Linked DNA regions of Drosophila melanogaster. The protein of the gene in region 1 purifies or fractionates together with the protein of each later gene. This does not show direct contact. Each region holds a gene or a part of one and is shown in the gene's direction. Other genes may lie near its edges. The genes, in order: CG11596, CG34205, Uxs and CG10237.

The links.
Region 2: the proteins of CG11596 (region 1) and CG34205 purify together in Drosophila melanogaster (affinity purification with mass spectrometry, with the first as the bait; one large-scale study listed by BioGRID). This does not show direct contact.
Region 3: the proteins of CG11596 (region 1) and Uxs purify together in Drosophila melanogaster (affinity purification with mass spectrometry, with the first as the bait; one large-scale study listed by BioGRID). This does not show direct contact.
Region 4: the proteins of CG11596 (region 1) and CG10237 purify together in Drosophila melanogaster (affinity purification with mass spectrometry, with the first as the bait; one large-scale study listed by BioGRID). This does not show direct contact.

The regions. Positions count from the first base shown.
Region 1 is NC_004354.4:1,925,697-1,931,499, forward strand, and holds CG11596 (uncharacterized protein), read left to right. Parts: upstream 1-1,986; 5' UTR 1,987-2,089; coding exon 2,090-2,223; intron 2,224-2,475; exon of another isoform or gene 2,476-2,569; intron 2,570-2,637; coding exon 2,638-2,884; intron 2,885-3,304; coding exon 3,305-3,474; intron 3,475-3,547; coding exon 3,548-3,688; intron 3,689-3,757; coding exon 3,758-4,015; intron 4,016-4,076; coding exon 4,077-4,497; 3' UTR 4,498-4,814; downstream 4,815-5,803. Other genes in the region: Ocrl (oculocerebrorenal syndrome of lowe), read left to right, coding at 1-683, 750-936, 998-1,222, 1,283-1,470. UniProt on the Drosophila melanogaster protein: S-adenosyl-L-methionine-binding protein that acts as a sensor to signal methionine availability to the mTORC1 signaling pathway.
Region 2 is NT_033778.4:22,129,473-22,133,521, reverse strand, and holds CG34205 (uncharacterized protein), read left to right. Parts: upstream 1-2,222; 5' UTR 2,223-2,311; coding exon 2,312-2,389; intron 2,390-2,554; coding exon 2,555-2,878; intron 2,879-2,941; coding exon 2,942-3,193; 3' UTR 3,194-3,408; downstream 3,409-4,049. Other genes in the region: NtR, read right to left, coding at 3,409-3,531, 3,592-3,758, 3,831-3,971, 4,037-4,049.
Region 3 is NT_037436.4:8,178,569-8,184,269, forward strand, and holds Uxs (UDP-xylose synthase), read left to right. Parts: upstream 1-2,354; 5' UTR 2,355-2,472; coding exon 2,473-3,115; intron 3,116-3,182; coding exon 3,183-3,364; intron 3,365-3,651; coding exon 3,652-4,152; 3' UTR 4,153-4,801; downstream 4,802-5,701. Other genes in the region: mthl7 (methuselah-like 7), read right to left, coding at 108-306, 370-544, 609-860, 922-1,098, 1,274-1,946; ERR (estrogen-related receptor), read right to left, coding at 4,951-5,701.
Region 4 is NT_033779.5:19,434,774-19,442,905, reverse strand, and holds CG10237 (uncharacterized protein), read left to right. Parts: upstream 1-1,998; 5' UTR 1,999-2,184; coding exon 2,185-2,242; intron 2,243-3,939; exon of another isoform or gene 3,940-4,612; intron 4,613-4,772; exon of another isoform or gene 4,773-4,893; coding exon of another isoform or gene 4,894-4,897; intron 4,898-5,060; coding exon 5,061-5,240; intron 5,241-5,779; coding exon 5,780-5,874; intron 5,875-5,942; coding exon 5,943-6,096; intron 6,097-6,272; coding exon 6,273-6,760; 3' UTR 6,761-7,056; downstream 7,057-8,132. Other genes in the region: Rab9, read right to left, coding at 7,600-7,983, 8,045-8,132.

The DNA.
Region 1 (5,803 bases):
ATGATCCGGGCACGGACAACTACGACAGCAGCGAGAAGCAGCGGGCGCCGGCCTACTGCGATCGAGTGCTCTGGAAGGGCACGCGCATCGAGCAGCTGGCCTACAACAGCATCATGGAGATTCGGCAGAGCGATCACAAGCCCGTGTACGCCGTGTTCCAGGTCAAGGTCAAGACTCGCGATGAGGTCAAGTACAAACGGGTGCAGGAGGAGGTGCTGAAGGCAGTGGACAAGCGGGAGAACGACAACCAGCCACAGATCAATGTCGAGAAGACGGTCATCGATTTCGGGACTGTGCGATTTAACGAGCCGAGCACACGGGACTTCAACGTCTATAACAACTGCCCACTACCTGTGGACTTCAGTTTCAAAGAGAAGGATATACACGCCATCTGCGAGCCATGGCTGCACGTCGATCCGCGCCAAGACTCGCTGCTGATCGACTCCGCCCGAAGCATTCGGCTGAAAATGAACGCCAATGTGCGCACCATTGCCGGCTTGCTTCGCAAGATCCGTGCTAGCGACAACTTCGATATTCTCATCCTGCACGTGGAGAACGGGCGTGACATCTTCATCACGGTTACGGGCGACTATCAGCCCAGTTGCTTTGGCCTTTCCATGGAGACGATGTGCCGCACCGACCGTCCATTAAGCGAGTATTCCCAAGATCAGATTAAGCAACTCGTGAGTTCCCTTCATTTTTGTAATTACGAAGTTTTTCTACTGATCACGAACCACGTTTCGTTGCAGATGAATGACGAATCACCGGAATACCGTGTGACGATGCCCCGGGAATTCTTTCTGCTGATCGACTATCTGTACAGGCAGGGCTCCAAGCAGGTGGGCGCCTTCCCGTCCTACGACTCGCGTCTCTCCCTCGGCGCTCAATTTAACTCGGTGCGCGATTGGTTGGACACCTGGTCGGATGATCCGTTCCGTAAGTGGACTCTATTAGATTGCCACCATAATAGTTGTGAATATTCCCTTACAATCTACAGCTGCCAACGCAGAGACGGCTGCGCAGGCGCTGCTGCTTTTGCTGGATCTGCCGGAGCATGCTCTGCTGGAGCCGGTGGTCGAGAATCTGCTGGAGTGCACCAACAAGTCGCAGGCTATGGACTACATTTCGCTGTTAAGTCCCCCCAAGCGCAATGTTTTCATGCACCTTTGTATGTTCCTGCGCGCGGGCATCGAGAGTCAGTTCTATGATCTGCATCAAGTCGGTAGGTAGAGAAGCTCCAGCAGCATTGTACCACCATCGTAACGCCATTCCTCCCACACAGCATCCACCTTTGGCCGCATTCTGTTGCGAAGCACCGAGCGTGCCGCCTGGATGGACTACCACAGCCGATGCATACAGTTCATGCGGCTCTTCATCGACACCGACGTCGAGGCAATGGGCAACGGCAATGAGGGCGCCGGAACTGGAACAGGCTCGGGATCTGGGACCCGGGCGGGTCTGCAGGCATAGTCGCCGCAGCTGTGCCGCCGAATCGGAAGCGAGCGATAGATGTACTACTCTGTTGATAGTTACGCATAGTGTTAAGCTATTTATTTTATTTGTTGGTACTTTGTTGGCACTTAGCATTTATATCTTCTCTGTTTTAACTGTTAATTGTTTGTGCCCGCCCTCCGTTCATTCCAACTCGGTTGTCCCCGCCTGCATCACAAATCCATGGAGACACGCAACCAGCAACGCAAAGATAAATGAATTGTGTAAATAAGTAATTCGTTTAGCACGATTGTTTGTTAGTTTAAATTAATGAAGTGACCCTCTTACATCCCCGTTTCAGTTGCAACTGAAAATAAATAACACCGTTACATACAGTATCAATATTCTGAAAAATCTCTACATTGGCTGTTCACATATTTGGCCACGCCCGCCAAAATTTTCAAAATTAAAAGACGCGCTACGGATTTGTGAGTACGGATGGTATCGATTAAATTCCCAAAGTTATCGACAGTGTAACCAGATCTAAAGTGGCGACTTCAGTTGACGGCAGAGACGACAGCAGAATGCAAAGGCAACGGATTACTCCCAGGATTTAAATAGCATAGATTATCGTTGAAACCGCTGACGACGCGCCCAGATGAGCTCCATGGACTGCGCCACGTTCCCAATGCATCCTAAAATGGACGAGCAACTGGCCCGAACCTTCGTCATCAACGAGGAGGAGGAGGAGAAGCACATTCAGAAGGTGCAGAACGCCTTCCTTTACTATGGGTAATTGTTATTGTTTTTGCGCTGTGTTCTGGAGCACATGCTCCAAACGGACGCTTGCCAACCGATCGTCGTTGAGGGGGGGCGGTGCGGTGACAGCGACATGTGCAGACAAGCTGCCGACAAACTACCGTTTCGTTTGGCGCCAGTGCTGGCGGTGCAGGAGTAATCACGCCAAATCTGGCTAGTGTTTTCAAATGGCTCACCGTTCCTTAGAAGACGCATCTTCTAAAGTATCCAATAGAGCCAAACTACAACTGAGTGTTCATTACCACCATTACTGACATTTGGGTGAAAAATATCTGCATACCAAAGATATCAGATTGCCCATACAGCGTTTGTAAACACTGTAGTGTGTCATCACTGGTGATAAGCGTGCTTGCTGATAATGGAAATCAATTAATTTCTCCCATGCAGGCCATATGCGTGTCAGCGGCTAAAGCGCTCCATGGATTACCTGAACAGCCTGTCTGGCGAGGACCAAATCATGCTAGCCAAGTACCGAGGGCATCTGGAGTGCGTGCGCACGTGCATCGATCGCAACCAGGCGGTTATCCGGGAAATATTGCGCGGGCGTGTCCTCTATCCGACGGATGAGGCGACTGGTGATCCCTCGGAGTTTGACGAGCCGCCGCCAAATGTGCGGCACGGTGACATGGACCAGGTAATTGACTACATCTGCGGTTCAATGCGGAAGCTAGACGGCGCTCCTTCATCATCCCACAAATCCCAATCTAATAGAATTTATGTTCCTCTTTTTACTTTATCTTCTATTTTTCCTACCGCTTTGTAAATGGTCAGTTGAATTTGTCCCTCTTTATATTTTCAAATATTAGAATTACTTTTGGTAAAACAAGGGAAGAGTAATATGTATCTTTAAACTGGTCATTCTTGTGCTTAAAAATTGTTTCTACATGTCAATAGACTACTCACCTTACGTATAGTTTAATGTGCTTGGTTATCCTCCAATATCTTCAGTTTCTCTTTTAATTATTGATTGGAACTATTCGGTATTGTTTCTTTTCCATATCTGTGCACGACACCCAAACCATGCATCTCGCACCCGCTCTAATTCAACTCGCAGATTGATATTCCATTCGATGAAGCTGACGTTGAACCTCTAAAAATTTTAAAGGCCCAGTCGACGTTGAAGTTGATTGCGCGCGACTGGAGCACTGAAGGAGCCTTAGAACGGGAGCAATCGTATAAACCGATCATCGACAGCATCGTTGCGTACTTCAAGCACAGCGATTTGTGAGTGACTACTACACTAAGCGTACTTTAGTGGTCTTACTAATTAATTATTCATCTGCTTTATCTTAAACAGCGAGCTGAAGGATATAAAGATCCTAGTGCCGGGAGCGGGGTTGGGACGGCTCACCTACGAGCTTGCCTGCTTGGGGTACTCGTGCGAGGGCAACGAGTTTTCCTACTTCATGCTGATCGCCTCCAATTTTGTCCTCAACCTGTGAGTCCAGCTCAGTACGTTGCTTTCTAATGCTGGGTATTGAACGTGCTCTGTTGTCTCTTTCGGCAGCTGCGACAACGAGAACAAGTACGTGTTATATCCGTGGGTGCACCAGTATGTGAATAACTTAAGGCGTGAGGATCAGGTGGCCCCCGTTCGTTTCCCAGACGTCTGCCCGCTTAAAAATCCACCCAAGGGCCATTTTGAAATAGCAGCTGGCGACTTTCTGGAGGTCTACAAGACGCCGAACGCCTACAACTGCGTGGCTACGTGCTTCTTCATCGATTGTGCCAATAATGTTATTGACTTCATACGCACAATTTACAAGTGAGTTGCACACATTTGAACGGGTATACCGGCGATGTTGATTTTAACATTATCGTTGCAGAATCCTCGTGCCTGGTGGCATTTGGGTGAATCTCGGGCCGCTGCTGTACCATTTTAGCGACGTCAGCGGGCAAAACAGCATCGAGCCGGCTTTCGAGGACCTTTGCATTATCATGGAAAGCGTAGGATTCGTTATCGAGAAATCACGCACCGGCATCCGTACCAAGTACGCACAGAACCCGTCTTCAATGAAACAGAGCGAGTACCAGAGTCTTTTCTGGGTCTGCCGCAAGCCGGATCTATTTGAGGAGCAGCGGGGCAAACGCAAGGCCTCCAGGGAGCCACACGATCTTATTGTGCGCGAGGACAGCGAGGAGGAGGGGGAGCAACAGCCGGAACGAAATGAAACGGAAGAAAAACAGCAACTGAAACCGCTGGCCACAGCCAACTGCGAGACTGAGATAAAGGAGCAGCCATCGTGATAGCCATTGAACCAAACTCAACAACACATCCAAACACCACAATCAAGTCCAAGTGCAAACCCACCTACAGATGGCATCACGAACATCTTAATTACCACGTCACAGGCAAGACAGGGAATCGACACTGCAGTGCTTCGATGTTATAGATTACACTTTATACCTATTATTTACTCCTACACACTGTTATATATGCCAGTTTTAATTTTTCAAAGGATGCAAATTTTAGGACAATTTCTCGCTCATTATGCTCATCATGCTAACTTAAATGGGAAAAGCGTCCCAACTAGGTCAACCAAATATATCAAAAGAAAATTTTTAAAAATTAAGATAAAAAGTTTTTATTTGTTCAATTACTAGTGGCTTTAAACCGATACCTACCAATTCGATAGCCTTATTAAAGTTAACGCAAGTTCCACTTGCATCAGGGTTCTCGGCACTCGCTGCCGCATACCTCACCTTGATATGACAACCAACATGCTGTGGTTCTCCAAATAATAGTCAAGATAGTTAAGAGGGTTCGAGTTTACGATTAGCTTTATTTTAAGATTCAGTTCGCGATCTGCTAGCGGTTCCGTTATGTGTCCGTTCGAGACTGGGCCTCTTCTCCCGCCCCGCTGCTTTTATATCCGCTTCCCCCGTTGACCCCTCACCCTGAGTGCGACCAACGGCACTTGTTCCGAATGCACACATACACAAACATGTTCCTAGACAGGCCCCGAGTCGCCTGCTGACGGGGCCCGAAAACACGAGAGCCGAGCGCTGGTGAGTCCTGACGAAGATCGCAAGAAGAGGGTTCGTAACTTACACGAACATGTTACTAGACAGGCCCCGAGTCGCCTGCTGACGGGGCCCGAAAACACGAGAGCCGAGCGCTGGTGAGTCCTGACGAAGAGCGCAAGAAGAGGGTTCTTAACTCCTCCCCCCTCAAGATCTGCGTCCCGCAGATTAGTGAGCCTTGTTCAGCTCGGTTTGGCCCAATGCTTCTAAGTTTGCGGCAATCTCGCGGACATCGGGCATGCCTTTGGTGGACATCAGCTTCTTCCATAGGAAATAAAAGCCTAGGAATATGCAGATTGCGAGTGCCGCCTCGGTGAGAAGAGAGGCTAGTAGCTCACTCGCCATGTTGGACATCTTTTCCAAATTCTTCATGCTCACGTCGTGGACGTATTCCAGAGAAAGTTGAAAGTTGCTGGCCGTTATGTGGCTCAACACGGCCGGCATCGCCATTAGATGACTGACCGAGTAACTGGAATAGTTTTGACCGTTGACCATTATCGTCTCATTGTCGAATTGGATGATAAAGGAG
Region 2 (4,049 bases), on another chromosome or scaffold:
TCCAAATTGTAATCGATTTTTAAGGGAATCATACATTTGAAAACAAATTCATCAAAGTTGGTGCGGTGCATTTCAAAAACTTCCAGTCACGTCAGCAGCGAGGCTCTAAGTTTGTCAGCTCCCAAAAGCTGAACTCCAAATCCATTTCCATGTCCACCACGATTCATTCATTAATTCAGGCAAAGCGTCATAAATGCCACGCGGTTTTTATTTGGTTTTTCAGGCTGGTTGATTTCGTCGTTTGTTTTTGATTTAATTAAGCGGCGCTTTTCCATTTTGCAATGTTTTTCTTGGCCGTTCCGCGAAGCATTTGCAAGTCAAATGCAGCGGCGTTAATTAATTGAATGGATCGAAAAATAACGCATACGCAGCGTGCGCCGCGAAGAATTCTGCGCTTGCGATCCATTGGGCAATCGCTTTGAATTCTCTCATCCATTCTGTGGCCAGTGGCTAATTAGGCCCGTCATCCAAAATTCGCGGCATTTTGCACCCATTTTGGAGCACACGCCGCCCGATCGCCAAATCCAAATGCGGCTAAAGACTCGCCTCTCGATCGAAGCCATAAAAACCAAGACGAGGATCGATCGGCTGATCGCCTTAAATCGTCATTTAGTATGTGGCAATTTGGCATTCGAGTTTGCCACCCTTCTGATCCACCGACCGATTGCTGGAAAATTGCTTTCCACCTGGCCAAAATGTGGGGCAGTGGCTGGGAAATCTTTTATTTATGAGGACCGGCGACACACCGACCACAACACACAACACCGATCTGTCCGCATCTGTCCGGATCGAATTGGACATGGAACACTTGTTTGGCAGTCGCCGACCACTGGCAACAATTGCTCCTATTGACTTAATATTTGCTAATAGAATTCACATAAATCACATTCCACTGGCATGCATGATTTATGCATGAACTGCGATCGCAGGTGACTCTCTGTCTCTTTTGCGGCGTTTCGTGCTGTCCTTTTCTCATTGTGCTAAGTTTTTTTTCGAGTTTTTTTTACGAGATTTCGGCGTTGAAGTGGTGTTTTCGAGACCTCTTGAGAGGAACTCCACTGAAGTGCTGCAAGTTGCATGCGCTAATCTGAGACATTATGTGCTTTCCAAACTTTAGTTTCTTAACCCTAATATATAAAGCAAGTATTTAAACACGGACTACCTTATTGTCTCAAAAAGTTATGTAAAGTCCACAAAAATATAAATCATTTAAGAAATGAATATATACACCATATCTATACTTAAAGCGAATAAGTGATATAATGATTACTTGAGACACTATTAATCCGTGATAAGGATCACGACGAGCATTCTCAACAATTTGTAGCATTATTAATTTTGTGATGACCCAATGTCACACCTCCGTACCCCCGCACATCCCGTGGGGTTAATCAAGTCGGCCATAAAAAATCCCACGAACTGCCAGATGCTGAACCGGCAATTTCAGCCGGCAAAGTCGATGGATCGATGGCGAGTTGAAGCTGGAGCTGGAGCTGGCGAACTGGGGCCTCCACTCGATCCAAACCCCCTCGCCACGCACGAGTGTCCTCGAGACGAGACGGCGTGGCTGCGGCTGAAATCACCCATCCAATATGGTCAAATGTGGCACGCAGCGGCATTCGAGGCACGATAAAGATAAATATGAAGCTCGCCTAGATATTTCGGCCAGAGGGGATTGCTGCTTGGTGTTTGGTTTTGGCGTTTGCCGATTTGGCAAGCGTTCATTATGCAATTTGGAGAGAATTTCCCAGCGCCACGCCGAGAATTGTTTCGAGAATACTCAAACATAGCAACGAAAACAATTAGACGGCATTCTACGTTGGCTAATTAAGTTGTTAGTGGCAAGGCTGCGTGCTTTCGAGGGGCGTGTCACCTGGCGCGTTGCCCAAATTGGCCAGCTAATCAGCGATTTCAATTAGCGTGCGCTTTCCAAATGCGAGCCACAATGGCACCCCCAGTGTAAAGACCGCCTTTCCTGCGGCGACTCCTTAGCCGGCAAGTGGTCTGCCTTCGGTTCGGAGCTCCCAACTCCCAGCTCCAGTTCAGGTTGCGTCATCCGCGTTTGGGGGCTCTCCAATCCGAGCTGCGTCTACGAGAATTGCAGTTTCACTGCAGCCGAGATACTTCACAAATTGGTGCTGCTTGGCCCGCTTTGTTGACTGCTGTCTGCTGACTGTTTGTCCGTCCGAGGCTCAGATCGAAATCTAGTCAAGATCTGTCCGCTCGACCACCTGTCCTCCGGTCCGCAGTTCGCAGTCCGCTCGAGAGTGCGAGTGCGTGGTCTGCCGTCGAGGGGTATAAAAGTAACGCAATGCACACGTCCACTTACAGTTGCAATTCTCCCTCCAAGCCAAGTGATTCGTTATCCAGCGCTAGCATGAAACTTCTGGTGAGTGGAAAGGGTTGGAAAGGATGCGGCCTAGGATCAGTATTATCACTTTAAGCCAATAATACTGACTGCAAAGGATATCTTCATACAAGGATTACCTCGATCTTATATTCACTAGATCAAAAAGATTAACATCAAAGTTTGGTTTTCCATTTACCTCGCCAGATCCTTACCTCTCTGCTGGCTGTGGCCACTGCTGCTCCTGGACTCCTTGATTATGGACACTCGGCTCCGGACTACAGCTACGCCCATGCCGCTCCTGCCATAACATATGCAGCTGCAGCTCCAGTCATCAAGTCCTACGCTGCCCCAGCCATCACCTATGCGGCTCCAGCTCCGGTGATCAAGTCCTATGCCGCTCCAGCCATCAGCTACGCCCATGCCGCTCCTGCCATCAGCTACGCCGCTCCCACGGTGGTCAAGTCCTATGCTGCTCCTGTGGCGGTCAAGGTGGCAGCTCCAGCCACCAGCTACTCGCACTTCAGCTCGGTAAGATCTGGATATACTCTGATATTTTCCCATTTAATCTTACAATCTACTTTGCATGCACAGGTTGTTTCCCATGCCACGCCCATTGTTAAGTCGTACGCTGCGCCTGCCATCGCCTATGCTGCTCCAGCTCCGGTGATCAAGTCCTATGCCGCTCCAGCCATCAGTTACGCCCATGCCGCTCCAGCCATCAGCTACGCTGCTCCCACGGTGGTCAAGTCATATGCGGCTCCAGCCATCAGCTACGCAGCTCCTGCCCTGGTTAAGTCATACGCTGCACCTGCCCTGTCCCTGGGTGGATACGGTTACCACTAAGCTCCGATACCAAAACACTCCAAATCCAAATCGATCCCGGATCGGAGTTGGAACAATGGCAGCAATTAACTGCGAGGAGTCGCAACAGCCCAGCACGCTCTCCCACTTTTTCAACTTGTAGTCGCAAAATCTTCACAATCTTCTCTGTTTACTTCTTATTTATTTAAGAACCATTAATATTCTCTCAAATGCACAATAAAGAAAAATTCTGTTTTTCAAAACCCACTCGTAATATCTACGATGGCAAAGGTTATAATGACCAAGATTGAACTCAGGTTGTTCAGGATCTTGGCCATATGGTGCCAGGGATTCTCCTGAATGTCGCAATAGTCGGTAGACTGTAGGAATATAGTGAATTGCAATACGTATATGTGTTCAATAGGGGCTTAACTACTCACATCCGAAAATCTCAATCCCAGAATGCATCGCAGAACATTGGAGTTAATCACCCTAACCAGCCAGCCAGGAGCCTTCGATCTGGGTGGATATAGATCCAGCCATATAATGCAGATGTGCAGAATGTAGCAATAGGTGGTGGTCATCATGATGACTTTATATGCAGTCACTGTAGGAAAAGTGAAAATTTGAATTTGAAAATTATACACAGTGAGTTTTAGTTAATTGATTTAAAACTTACTCATGGGCGGCACATAATGCGGAGAGGCGTAGCGCGTCATGTACATTAAACCCCAGGCGGCAATCAGCAAGGCGATGAGAATGAGGGAACTCCTACGAGTAGAACGCAGTACAAAGGACAAAATCAGGAACATCTGGCAGGCTGAAAGAATATATTGTAGTTATATGTTATTCCATAACAAGAAATCAAACACATTTTCATATTACCAATCAACGGCAA
Region 3 (5,701 bases), on another chromosome or scaffold:
AATTCAATTCAATTCCTTCGTTCAGCAAAGGATATTAATAAAATGAGGGGCTTTAATTGTTTAAAGCTTTAATTGTAAACAATTATTAGAATTATATAGAAACAAGCTTAAGAATCCATCATTAGAGTCCATGTGCTGCGCTTCAGGACGAGCAGAACGAACAAAACAATTCCAAACGCGCTGTGAAAATACTCGGATATTATCCCGACCCATTCCCAGAAAATGTGGAGCCGTGCAGAATACGGAATGACATTGAATATCCAAGTAAGGCCCATCACGATGGAGAGCCGCAGGAACTGTAGGTAACTATGTGGATAATACGGCAAGGATAACTAGTTTACCAAGGTCCAAGGTTTTATCATATCTTACGTCTGGCTGTCAAAGTTTATGCAGTTAATCCTTCCCTCCTCCTCATTTGTGAACTTATTTATACCCCCCTTCACTTTCCTAATGTAAATGGCTGTCAGGGCGAACATGGCGACATTGAAAGTGCTCAGGGCCAGCGACGGTCCACTTATATAGATCCAGACGGATGGGTGCCAATCTGATATGGAAAAGCAATACGTAACCATGGTAACGATTTAAAAGCAATCGCATTGAAAGTTTACCTTTGACCGAGCACCGAATAAAACCGACCAGAGGCAACCAGTTCCATTTACTGGGATCGTTTTCCCAAATCTGATTAACTATATAAATACTTCCCGTCATGATTGCGGCTGTGCTCCAGACGAAGGCGTTGTACCGCAGGAACCGATAGTTAGGGTCGACTCGATTGAGCGACGTCAAGACTTTCCACGTATGGTAGCTGATGACGGAGAGCCAGAGGTTGGAAGCCATCCGGAAAAAGTGCGAGCTGTAACCTGCAAGAAGTCAACGATATAACATTTAAAGCTTCCAGAGATATCTCCAATTCGAACTAACCAGCTGGAGAGCAAATGCCATTCAATAGATTTAAATGATCTAGTATCATGATCAAGCACTGGATAAACCTCGAAACTATACAGCATACAATGCACTTGCCAGTAACATTTCGCAGCTTCTTAATGTATAGATATACTGCGATTGTTAGGACAAAGCATATCATTGTTATAATTAGAACTGAAAAAGAAAATATAAGAAATAAAAAACCAGCTTATTGTAATTAAAAAACTTGCAAAGGGCACACAGAATGCAGTCAGCAGTTTGCACACCAATAAGGAGTTATTTTCGTTTCTTTCTATATAGCTATGAAAACGATATTGATGACTTTTGTTATAAATAATAATTGAATTACTCTCTAAGGATCCAGGAGATATGTGGCTTGTGCAGCGGTGTCGTATTATCCACATGGACTTTGGAAAATCCGAATCAAAGTTGTGCCGGTACAAGCAGTAGTCCTGTTTTTCCATGAAGAGGTCAACGGTAACCCAAAATTTTCCATCCTGGAACCAAACTATAAGTCCACATTTATTGAAGATTTGAATGCTAACCTCTTCTAAGAAATAGTTAAAGTCGCTGATGTAAATCATTTCATCACAATCAAAGAACTCATCTCTGATAATAGCCATATCGGTGAGTGGTACTCGTGCCTGTAGGTCCATGTATGTGAAGTATATATAGGGTTTGAACCGGGCGAGCTCCTCTTTGAGACCATCATCGCATTTTCCGTTGGCCAAAAAGTTCTTGGCTGGGCAGCAGATTCGAATACAGGGCCGCACGCTGCAAACACAGGCCCTTAAATGCTTTTCAATCGGCGTAATCGAACCGTCCCCAAACTGCCTGAACTCGTAGTATCCAGTTAAGCTAGCAGGAATTTCGATGTCATCATATAAATACGAATCGTTTTGCCTTTCAATGTATGAGATATCAACCGTGTCGTAGTAGTTGCACCCGGGAATATCTGCATTTGAGTTGTTCGTAAAAATTAAAAGCAGAACTGTACAGAAAATCACCCAAGGAAGCCTCATGCTGAGCACTACAACACTTGGCACTAAGAACTTTGCCCGACTGGCGATCGATGCTCATCGTTGGCAGTTTAAATAGCCTTCAATAGCCGTTTGGGCAAACACTTTATTCGGAAAGTAGTCCCTGCTGACCAGCCTAAGAAAGCCCTCAAACAAATTTAGTTTTCAAACTCATTTTTTGGCAATTTCCGACCTTTTATCGTTAAAACGAAAAATATTCGTCCCTGGGGAAGATCACCAACAAAAATGTCTAATTCATTATCAATTCATTATAATTTATAATCCAAAATCAAAATGTTCGCCTGTCGATACTTTTGATGTAAATTTTAAAATTAGGCGGGAGCTTTTCCCTGGCGTTAGATTATTAATCCATTTAGAAATTCCGTTTGAGCCATCTGGCCACTCTGGCACCTCCTGATAACGCAATTGTATTGTTTATATAGTTTCTAAAGCCGAACGAGAATGCAATGTGGCGATATCAGTTGCTGATAAGCACTGGAACCCTGCAGTACACAACCCATAACCGACGATGACTGCCACCAAAAAGCGTCTGAAGATCGTTGCAGCCATCTCGCTGCTCCTCCTGCTCCTGGTCTACCTTTACCGAATGGCCAGCTTCTGCCCAAGCGGAAAGGTCGCCGTTTCCGTTCCCGGCGTCGAGGAGGTTCAGGCCAAATGGCCGCCCACGGAAAGTCCGCTACAAAGGAGCCTTCAGATGGCGTACGAGGAGCAGAGCTCTCTTATTCGAGAACAAAAGGCCGAACTCCAGCGCACAAGGGAGAATTTGGCCAGATTGGAGGAACAAGTTCGTAGCCTCCAGACCAGCACACCGCGCAAGTATCCGAAGGTTAAATACCTGAACTATAAGAATCGCAAACGCATACTAATTACCGGAGGAGCTGGCTTCGTGGGCTCCCACTTGGTCGACGATCTGATGGTCCAGGGGCACGAGGTCATCGTGGTGGACAATTTCTTTACGGGACGCAAGCGAAATGTCGAGCACTGGCTGGGGCACGAGAACTTCGAGCTCATCCACCACGACATAGTGAATCCGCTTTTCATCGAGATCGATGAGATCTACCACTTGGCATCGCCAGCCTCGCCACCGCATTACATGTACAATCCGGTGAAGACCATCAAGACCAACACCATGGGCACGATCAATGTACTGGGTAAATATTTATAATATCAATCAAAGAAAATAAGGATTACACCTAACGAGTATATCTTTTTTGAAAGGTCTGGCCAAGCGCGTGATGGCCAAGGTTTTGATAGCTAGCACTTCGGAAGTGTACGGCGATCCCACAGTGCATCCGCAGCCAGAAACATACTGGGGACATGTAAACCCTATTGGACCGAGAGCCTGTTATGACGAGGGAAAGCGTGTCTCCGAGACGCTGAGCTATGCGTATGCCAAACAGGTAATACCTTTAGCAATATATATACTTTTTTGGATAACCACATTCCTAAGCCAGATCGAAAAAAAAACATTAAACTAGCTGAGATCCAGAAATGTGGCAGATTTTTCCTGTTTCGATCGCTAGTTGAGCATTAAATGATCTCAATTGGAATGCTATTAATTGATGTTCCGCTCGGTTGGCTGACGCGAGATAAGATTTCCAAGCGCGAGCACTGACCACATTTTTTGATCTTGGCCAGCAATCTGGGAGTCAAATTAATTGCTCTTTAAATGTATCTGTATCGACAGGAGAAAGTGCAAGTCCGAGTGGCGCGCATCTTTAACACTTATGGACCGAGAATGCATATGAACGATGGACGAGTGGTGTCAAACTTTATACTTCAGGCGCTGAGGAATGAAACCATTACGGTGTATGGAAATGGCAAACAAACGCGCTCCTTTCAGTATGTTTCGGATCTGGTGGACGGAATGATAGCCCTAATGGCATCCAACTACACACAGCCGGTGAATTTAGGCAATCCTGTGGAGCAGACAATCGGCGAATTTGCCGAGATCATCAAGAAACTGGTCGGCGGGCCCAGTGTGATAAAGCAATCGAAGGCCATGGAAGATGATCCGCAGCGCAGAAAACCGGACATAACTCGAGCCCGCCAGTTGCTCCATTGGGAGCCAAAGGTTCCCCTAGAGACTGGACTTCAGCGGACCATCTCCTACTTCCGCAACGAATTGGCGCGTAGCGATCGCTTTCAGGAAAGCTCCAACAAGTACTTTGATACACATACACCGTAGAATTAATTGGGCTTAGCTCTAATTGGTGATGATGGAACGTCTCTAGTCTGCAAATGTAAATATGACCATCGTTAGCACTAATTGTAAGCCCTCAAGGACCACAGAATACCTTTGTCATGGTTAATTTTTTGAAGTTTTGCGATATATCAGCCTATGTATGGATTAGGAAATAGTGATGTATAAATGCGATCAAATGCACTGAATTCTAGAAAACTAATTTGAATTTGTTTAGGAAAAGAAAATCCCCAAAGAATACAGAACTTAGGGAGTATGGAAACAACAGTTACAAACGGTTTATTATTCACGGACGACATTGCTATTCTTTTGACCGCATGTGTACCACATAGACACAGAATCACTGGGTTACATGACACTTAGAAACAGTATAATCCATTGTATTGTAGAACCACTATCGTATTTTAAAAGTGCCCACAAATTCATACGTTACATCAGAAGGTTGCGGCATATACATATATCAGAACCAGTGAGAATTGAACAAATTATTGAAGATCTGTGACTCACAACTTTAGACACATAACACCTATATGCGCCTTTAACCAGTGTAAGCACACCCCGATTCTAGAAGATAAGTAGGGTTTTCCAGTTGCTGTAGTTGGTAGTCCATTAAAAGAGATTTTTTCTGCGAACTAATCTTACCCGACAAGTATTTTACTATTTATATACATGGCTTATCCTACGCTTAATCTACTCTAGTATACATCCATATATACCTAAGACTATATTTGCACCTTTGCTTATCAGCTAGATCAACTAGTTTGGGCGCCCGCATAATCCTTTTCACCTGGCCAGCGGCTCGAGCATCTCGAGGAACAGTTTCTTCATGGTAATGACTTCATCGCGTGCAATTCCACGCCAAAATCTTCGCAGGATATCATCCGCCTGCCGCAGCGAAGGCAGCAAAAGCAGCAATTGTTGCTGATGCGACACGGCCGACGAATGACGCAGCAAGTAGACCACATCGTTTAGAGAATTAAGAATCGTATCACGAAATGCGCGCAGGGAACTCTGATCATCCAGCAGAATGTCGCAGTTGGCCAGCAGGAGCGCCTTTAGCAAGTAGTACTCCTCCCTTCGTGGCGATATTCTTTCCATGCGCTGTGCGATCTGGACGCAGTGGTAGTAGAACTCCGTGTAACCGCACTCCTTGGCCAAATGTTCATCCATCCAGACATCCGTGGCGAAGCATAACTTGCCATTGAACGGTAGGGACCGGAAGGTCAGCTGGAGCGTCAGGATCTCTGCCCACGACACCTGGAGAAGCTTCATCTGGTCGTTAAGTGGCAGATCTATAAAGCCAGGTATCTGCTTGGCCCAGCCAATGACGCTGACCAATTCCTTGTCGTAAATATCACTAAGGACGCTTAGTATCTCATTGGGATCATTGTTGTTGTTGTTTTGGAAAATGCAAGTCCCATTGGGCGTAACAACGCTGGACTCCAGTTTTATGCTGCCCGAGGAGGATGAGGCCTCATCATTAGTTATGCTAGTCGTGTGGACTTGCGGCGGCGGCGTTTGGACGCTCAAGGCA
Region 4 (8,132 bases), on another chromosome or scaffold:
TAAATTCATATGTAATCGACTCTCATTGTTTGTAACTCTCATAGGCTAGGCCATAAATCTGAATTTGACATTCAAATTAAATGCATGTAAATACCTAATAGATAATGGAGTGTCTGTCCGTCTGTCTGTCTGTATGTCCATGTGAAGCGCGCTGTGCGTATCAACAGCTGTCGCTGGGATTGCGTGTTCGTAAATTGATTAATGCCATCAGTGGGTTACTTTTAACTTTCAGCGTTCTGTACTTCGACTTAGCTAATTGCACTTGGCTGCCCAACGAAATTCCGCCGGACTTTAAAGGCTGACGTAGCTCCGTGCTCGAAGGTGATCGTCTGACTGGAGGACGGAATGACCGAATGGCTAAATGGCGGAATGGCGGTCCGACACGCAGAATGGGCTCAGGCAAGCGCAAGAAATGGCATGGAAATACATTTGGAAACGGCGAGCAGTGAAATACTTAATTAATTGCTCGTGCTTGAAACTAAAAGCAAATGAGCTCGAATTACCCACAGCCCCCGTCAGTCAGTTGATCACTTGATCGTGGAACGCGGACACGCCAGTCGAAAGAAGGTACATTAGCTAGTGTCCGGCAGAAAAGCAGAAAGTTACTGTTGTGTCGAACGGGAGGAGTGATAGCCAAAGCAATAACTTACACACTTACGATCCGTAAGAGGGATTACAAACTCGTTTTTCACTCAGTCACAGTGGCGAAGGCGATTAGTCTTTAAACTACTCGTGTACGGAGCGTTCAAAAGTTCAAGTCTAATTGCATCCAAGTCGCGTAACCATCAGAAGATTAACCACGATACACTGTGCGAAACGCTCAGAACACGCACTTAATATAAATATATATACATATATAAAGCTGTGCCGCGATTGCGAAAGTGCCCCGATGCTATATAGCTAACTTAAAAATTTCGTATTTTGCGACGAGAAATGAAAATATTCCTTCGTTTACATTCTAGAACAAATATAGGAAGTGGACTTTTCGCAAGTGGCAGATGAGAATTTCTCGAAAGTGCTAAACAGTACAAGTTACAAAGTGTATATAGTTACAAAATATAGCAAAGTGGATTTCCTGATAGAAAGTACGGATTTTTTCAATAATAATAATAATAACTATATTGTTTTAAGTCAAGAACATTTCTAAAAGTGCACACAAAGTGAAGAAAGTTCTTGAATTTTGTAGTACTCACTTACTTTCAGTGTACCTTCTGCAACATTATATTTAATAATGTTAATTGCTGTGGAAAATCGATTGAGTGCGCTGCACCGTGAGAAATACCGCACTTGTCTTGGCACTTTAACGTACTAAAAACAATGGAAATAACATAAAATTAATGCTGAGCTCAGTGAACCATTTTCAGGTGAACTTATGCAAAACAAGCCAAAAAAAAAAAAGAAGATCCCATGCGGCGATTCGCGACGTGATCTTTAGAGCTCTTAACTCGAATCGGTCGCTTATAATGACCTATTAAGTCGCGCTGGCCTTACGAGTGCCCGACTATTCCGACCGACCTATGTATATATCTTGATAACTATAACTTTGTCGTACAATACATATGTGCAATGCACGCAGTGCATAAAAGGGGCGGCTATAAAACGATTTGACAAGCAGCTTTGTATTTTCAGTCTTCAAACGCGACCCAAGCTCACTAGGTACATATATCGGAGTCGAACGGGAGTTCCGAAGGATTTCCACTGTACCAGCCAACTATTTGTGGATTAGCCGATTTTCAATTCAAACAAGGTGAGTAATTGGATCTCATATATACATTTGTATATATATATACATATAGAGTGCTTTTCTTTTTAAGAGTGCATTTCTGAGTGTGTAGCGCTAGGGACCATAAAAATATCTTAGCCAGATCACCATCACTATCACTATGTAGCTACGCTCAGCCCTTATTTACGAGGCATCACTGTCTGTCCGTGTTTTTTGCATTGCCTTTTGCTCATTACTGTTGCATGCATTCCCCCCTTTCGCACTCGTCGCTCGAGAATTTCAGACAAAGTTCAGTAACTCGCCGACGACATTGACCCATTTAGCCACCGCCGATGCTCCCGACTCGATCAGCCTGAATAAAGAAATATTAATTTATTTACATACGCTAGCATTTGCATGTGCATACCGGTTTAGTTAGTTGTAAAGTAACTTGTGTGTGTATTCATTCGATCTGCATCGCCATGACCATGCTGACCACTGCATCTGCGATGAGGTGCCTGCCCTCTGAATTCCCACTTGGTGAGCAATAGCGAAATCTGCCGAACCCCATTTTTTATCGTATATTTATTGCAAGTACTATATGCATTTTCTTAGAATTATCTCCCTCAAATAGAATTATTTTCTATATACGTACGTATGTATTTATATAAGGCGCGTGGCTACAGTTGCTCGAAAAACTATACACCAGTTTGTTAAAAACTTATATACAGTTGTGCTGGTAATTGAAAGTCACGATTAGTTCGAGAAAGAGTATTTAAAAGGTATTCAAAATATAAATAATTTAAAAAAAACAACACTTTTTGCAATGCCTTTTGATATGCCATCTAAATTGTTTGGACATCAAGCGAGTATTCATGTAACAATCCATTTGTTCGATGTCAGTAATATCTACCGACTTGTACTTTTTCCATCTCTTGAGTAAGGTCAAAGCACTTTTGCTTTTGAACCGCCATTGTCACGTTCTTCAAAAGCAGGTTTCTCATGCAGGGTTTTTAACACGCTTTTTGCAAAGAAAAAACCGAAGGGCGAAGGTTGACATTGCAATGGGTCGTAACCCCAGAATTACTCATATTACTCGCTTCAAGTTTTTTCCATATACTCGCAGCTTTGTACCACCCAGTTTTCGTCAGCATCCGCTTCGAGATGGCCAATAAAAATTGACCAAATGACCGAAACTGGCCGTAATGAAATCGAGAGTATCATCGCAACGTAAATCCGTATCCATGAATGGCCGAAGTCTTCGCACGTGCGATCGTGCGATTGAACCGATTTGTCCAAAACCGGGCGGGAACCATTTGCTGTCCACAACGCAGAGGGTGCTCGGCTTTGGGACGTGTTAATTATACCAAATATGCCTGGCTTAACACATGGGGCTGAGAAAATAGGGACATATGATATGACATGGTGATGCGGTGTCATTAGATGCGATCTTATGATCTATAACTATGATCTATAAATAGTTGAAGATGCTTTCAAGTGTCCAATGTTTGTGGTCTCCAACAAATTGCTAGTGGGGTGACCCCAGGTGTAGGTACGCCGAACAGGTGTAAGCACTAATTGGCGTGTAGCTGGGCAGCATTGAAACCGGATGGCTATGCACGGGCACGGGGCTTCAGGGTCGCGATGGGAAATGCCTATGCCAAGGGATTTTCAAGAGCCCAATAGTACTGTGGGCGATTACCCGAAGAAAACCCGAATAAATTAGGCAAGTCCAAGTTGAAAGCGAAACTGAAACCGGCTTGAGGTGGCGGTGGCATCATTTCCCAATGACGATGCACCCCAGACCCAGTAAAGCTTGCTCGCTCTCCCTGGGCAAACTCCATGTGTCTCTCCATCTAGCAACTCCACGCTCTTGCGAGGCACGTGAATGTCATGCTCAAGTTCAGATTCAGCTGGTGATGATCACTTAATGGGTGCACAACTTGTTTCATATAATAGCATTATATAGTTATTCCCCATCACTAGTGCAAGCAAGCAAGAAAATATATGTTTCAGTAGAAGCTTATTATGTTGAAACTACTTCATTTTGGTGCATTAAAGCATTAAACAACTATAGTTAAAAGACCCCCTTATAGCAGAAGTAGTTACTGTCGGGAAACAAACCCACTTGGCAGCACTGGCGTCTCGATCGGCGACACCCACTCTCATGCCGCTCCGCTCACAATTCCAGTTTTAATTCTTGGCCTGGCATAAAATCTCGACTCGCGCTTTTGGCCGCAACAGTTTCATCTGGGCTTTCAGCTCCGTTGCACGCGTCACTCGCAGCTGGTTTTTTGGGCCGTCTTTGCGGAATACTGTTAGCCATTATACCATTATAGCCTTTAAGTTTGGGCCAAACTAGTTTCGGTCGTGTTGTGTTGTCTTGTGTTGTGTTGTGATCCGTGTGTACTATTTAAGATCTCGTATTTTCCCAGACACAACATCAGCGATTCAGTAGACTCTTGTGTATCATTCATGAATGCAAAAACAGACGATACCCTAAGCAAATCACCTGGCCCATCTAGCCGAAATTGGTAGCAATTTTCAATGTCAGCGCTTCGGATGCTAATCTCCTAGTCTTTTGTTTCGAGCCAGCACTAACGCTAATTTTCGATTTGATGGGAAATCTTCAGCGCTAATTTCCGATTTGATGGGAAATCTAGTGTGCTAATTTCTGATATCCAACTGCCCCACTATATAAGCTCACAGACCCTGGCTCCTCATCTCGCAATTCGAAACCTGCCTAACTGGAAATTACGCTCAAGTAGAACGCGTCAAGTGTCTCCAGAATTTAGTTCAAGGCTCCTAACGTTATTTTCTGATCTCTGAAGAATTGCATTATCTTCGCGAATCTCTGGCCTCTTCTTCCGTTTTAAGCAATTTGCGAATGTCAAGGTGAAGGTCGGCCAGGTGATTAATAAATAAATGAATACATATATGGATATGTTTAGACGATCATCGCATTGACTGGCGGGAAAGTCTAGAAACTCGATGCAGTTGAGCCGGTTCCGAGTCACTTGTGTCTCGCTAATAAATTGAAATCTCTACGCTTTTTTCTTCTTATAAATAGAGGGCACAATTTTACATTTGGCAAACTGAAAATATACAGCGGCGAACCGCTTAGAAAAAGCACATAGCTTAATATAATCGCAGAATAATTTCAGTTCAGCCAGAGCAGCAACAATTGCAAAATGAGTAAGTAGTAATTGTGAAGTATGACAACTAATTGGCAATCGATGTCAGTTAGCTCAAGTTATTTAGTTGGCCAAAGTTCCCAGTGCTCTCAGTGTGAAACCCGCAGCCCCAGCTCAAAGTACAGAAGCTGTCGCTAACCGAACCCCAACTGCTTCCCTTCCAGGAGTACCCACCATGCTGTCGGACATCGACCAACTGCCCACGCTCCAGGTGGGCGACTACACGCTCCAGTTCGAGTTGGGCGAGCCGACTGCCCAGGGCAAGGAGGTGGCCATCAAGGAGCTGCGCGAAACACCCGAGCGCCAGAAGGAGGCCTCCAAGGAGCTGGCCCGTCTTCTAGAAGGTGAGTCGTGATCAGAAATGGAGTTTTACTTTGAATCAATATAATTATACATTAACTACATGAGTTAAAACTCACATGATGAAAGTCATTGAAACTGCATTACATCTGTTTAAAGTATATACATATATCTGAACTGAGATCATACAATATGCATTTTGCTAAGCTATTTTCATAATTTATATCCGAGGGATCTCCAAAAGCTGATAAAAACTTGAGTTAATAAAACTTAAGCCATAAACTTCGTACTTAGCCTGCATCTAATAATTTACCCGATTGTTGGGAATTGAAAATCCATTTGTACACCAAGTTCGAACGAATAGTTCTATATCATTAGTTGGCGACTTCGTGTCACTAATAACAAGTTGGGGCTAAAAGCAGCGCGCCCTCGAGAGGATTTCGTTGCATAAGATTCGTAACTATTGTTACAAATTACGATTGCCTTTTAATTGCTGGATAAACTTAATGCCAGTGGTTTAGTGACTTTTTAGAATTAAGACTATTGAAGGTGAGGTCGATTAATATTTGCGATATGCTTCCAGCGGAGACGGACTTGCTGTACCCCAAGGGAAACGAGGAGTGGCTGATCAGATACCTGCGGCCCTGCAAGTATTACCCGGAAAGTGCCCGTGATCTGGTGAGTCTAGTGTGGCAACCCAGTTTCCAGCTGTGTTACTAATTGTATATATTCTGAATATGGAACAGATTAAGCGGTACTACGCCTTCAAGGTGAAGCACGCGGATGTGTACACCGACCTGAAGCCATCGAACGAGGCCAACATCTTCAAGCACAACATCCTTACCGTCTTCCCCAACCGAGATCAACTGGGTCGTCGCATTTTGGTCCTCGAACTGGGCAGTAAGTACACTGAAAGAAGGATACTTCAATATATTAGCTTTTGAGTGCAAAGATCTCGATCTTCAGAGTAAAGTTTATTTTAGTTAAGATGCAGGTTTTCCTATCATTTGAAGTTTCATAGTTGCTCCAAGCATTGAGCAGATCCTGTATTAATCTTTCGTAATCCCCGATTACAGAGCGCTGGAAGCACAAGCAGGTCACCCTCGATGAGGTGTTCAAGGGAGCTGTGCTCTTCCTGGAGGCGGCCATGCTGGAGCCAGAAACACAGATCTGCGGAGCCGTTGTGATCTTCGACATGGATGGCCTCAGTCTCCAGCAAACGTGGCAGTTTACGCCTCCGTTCGCCAAGCGCATTGTGGACTGGCTTCAGGACTCGGTGCCGCTCCGGATCAAGGCCATTCACATCGTGAACCAGCCGAAGATTTTCCAGGTGGTCTTTGCCCTGTTCAAGCCCTTCCTCAAGGAGAAGCTGCGCAGCAGGATCATCTTCCATGGCACCGATCGCGAGTCCCTGCACAAATACATGTCGCCCAAGTGCCTGCCAGCCGCCTACGGAGGATTCCGGGAGGCCAGCCGCATCGACAGCGACCAGTGGTACCAGCTGCTGCTCAAGTGCGACACCGAGTTCGACACCATCAACTCGTACGGCTACAAGAAGAAGTGATCTGTGGCCACCGGCCTGGTGCTGCTCGTGATAATCAACTCCACTCGTTTCCACACGTCTTCACATTAAGCCCACGTGGAGCGTTATAGTTAAGCACTCGATCTACCATACGCTTGTCCTGTTAGTGAGTAGCGCCTAGAGTTTGCCTTAGTCTTAACCAGGATCGGAGTGTCGATCGCAGCCAGAAGAAGTGTTATACCTACATGCATATTATTTTAATCCGGGGTAAGCGTATTTATATCATTTTACTATTGTACATTAAACCAATTGTTAAAATATAAACATACTTTGTAAACAAACACGTGCGGTATTCATATTTATTCGTTTGTTCCCAGCTTTCACATCAGATAAACACACTTAAGGCACTCCGAAATTATGCAATATATAAGGAAAAAATGTAGTGATTACATTCTGATTGCCTTATGCGTAGTACATTAGACACCTAAAGCTTGCTTTCCTCAAGCAAGACACTTGGTTATGGTAAAGCTTATATACGATTGTTATAAGAGTATTTCATACCGCATATATTCGATACGGTAACATAACAAAATAATAACTTAGTAAGATAATATTAAAGCATAGCAAGTAAAAATGGAGATCCTATTCTTGACATAGAAGCTAGCTCATAGTTAGCTCGCTGTGAAGCATAGTTCCCTTAGAATATCAACCACAACGAGGCAATCCACTCTCTACAGCCATCAACATTGGGTGGATGGGTTGCCTTTCGGTCTGAAGCTCCTGCCCCTCCGCGGACTGGAATGCATTGAATCTGAAGGTCAACCCGGCGGGGTGAGTGGTTAAATTAAGCGTAAGTTTCCTGACAGCTCCTGTCTGTCTGCTCATAGCCGATAATTGGTGGCTGGCGCCTTGCTGGCGTTGCGCTTCTGGCCGAACACTTTCTTGCCCGGACTGTGCATGGCGGCATCATCGCCATCCGCGTCCTGCCCTACGCCGCCGCCACCGCCTCCTCCGCCTGTGCAACAGATGCGCCGCTGCACCAGGCGAATGGGGCGGGTGAGGTCAATGGTGTCGCCGTGCTGGCGCAGTTCCGCCTCGGCCACGCACTCCATGTGCCGCCACTGGCGAAGGCCAAGGACGAACGCATCCGTCACATTGGTGGCCGCCTTCGATGACGTCTCGATGTGGCAGGCCACCTTCTGCTCCGCGCACCACTGCTGCACTGCGTCGGAGCTCACCTGTCGCTTCTGCGCCGGAATGTCGTTCTACAATTGGAAGCAATTAACCTTTTAAACTCAAGATGAACGTTCTGCAAGCATGGCTCACCTTATTTCCCACCACGATGAATGGAAACTTGTCCTGGTCCACATCTGCGTAGTTGAGGAACTCATTGCGCCACACACCCAATCCCTTC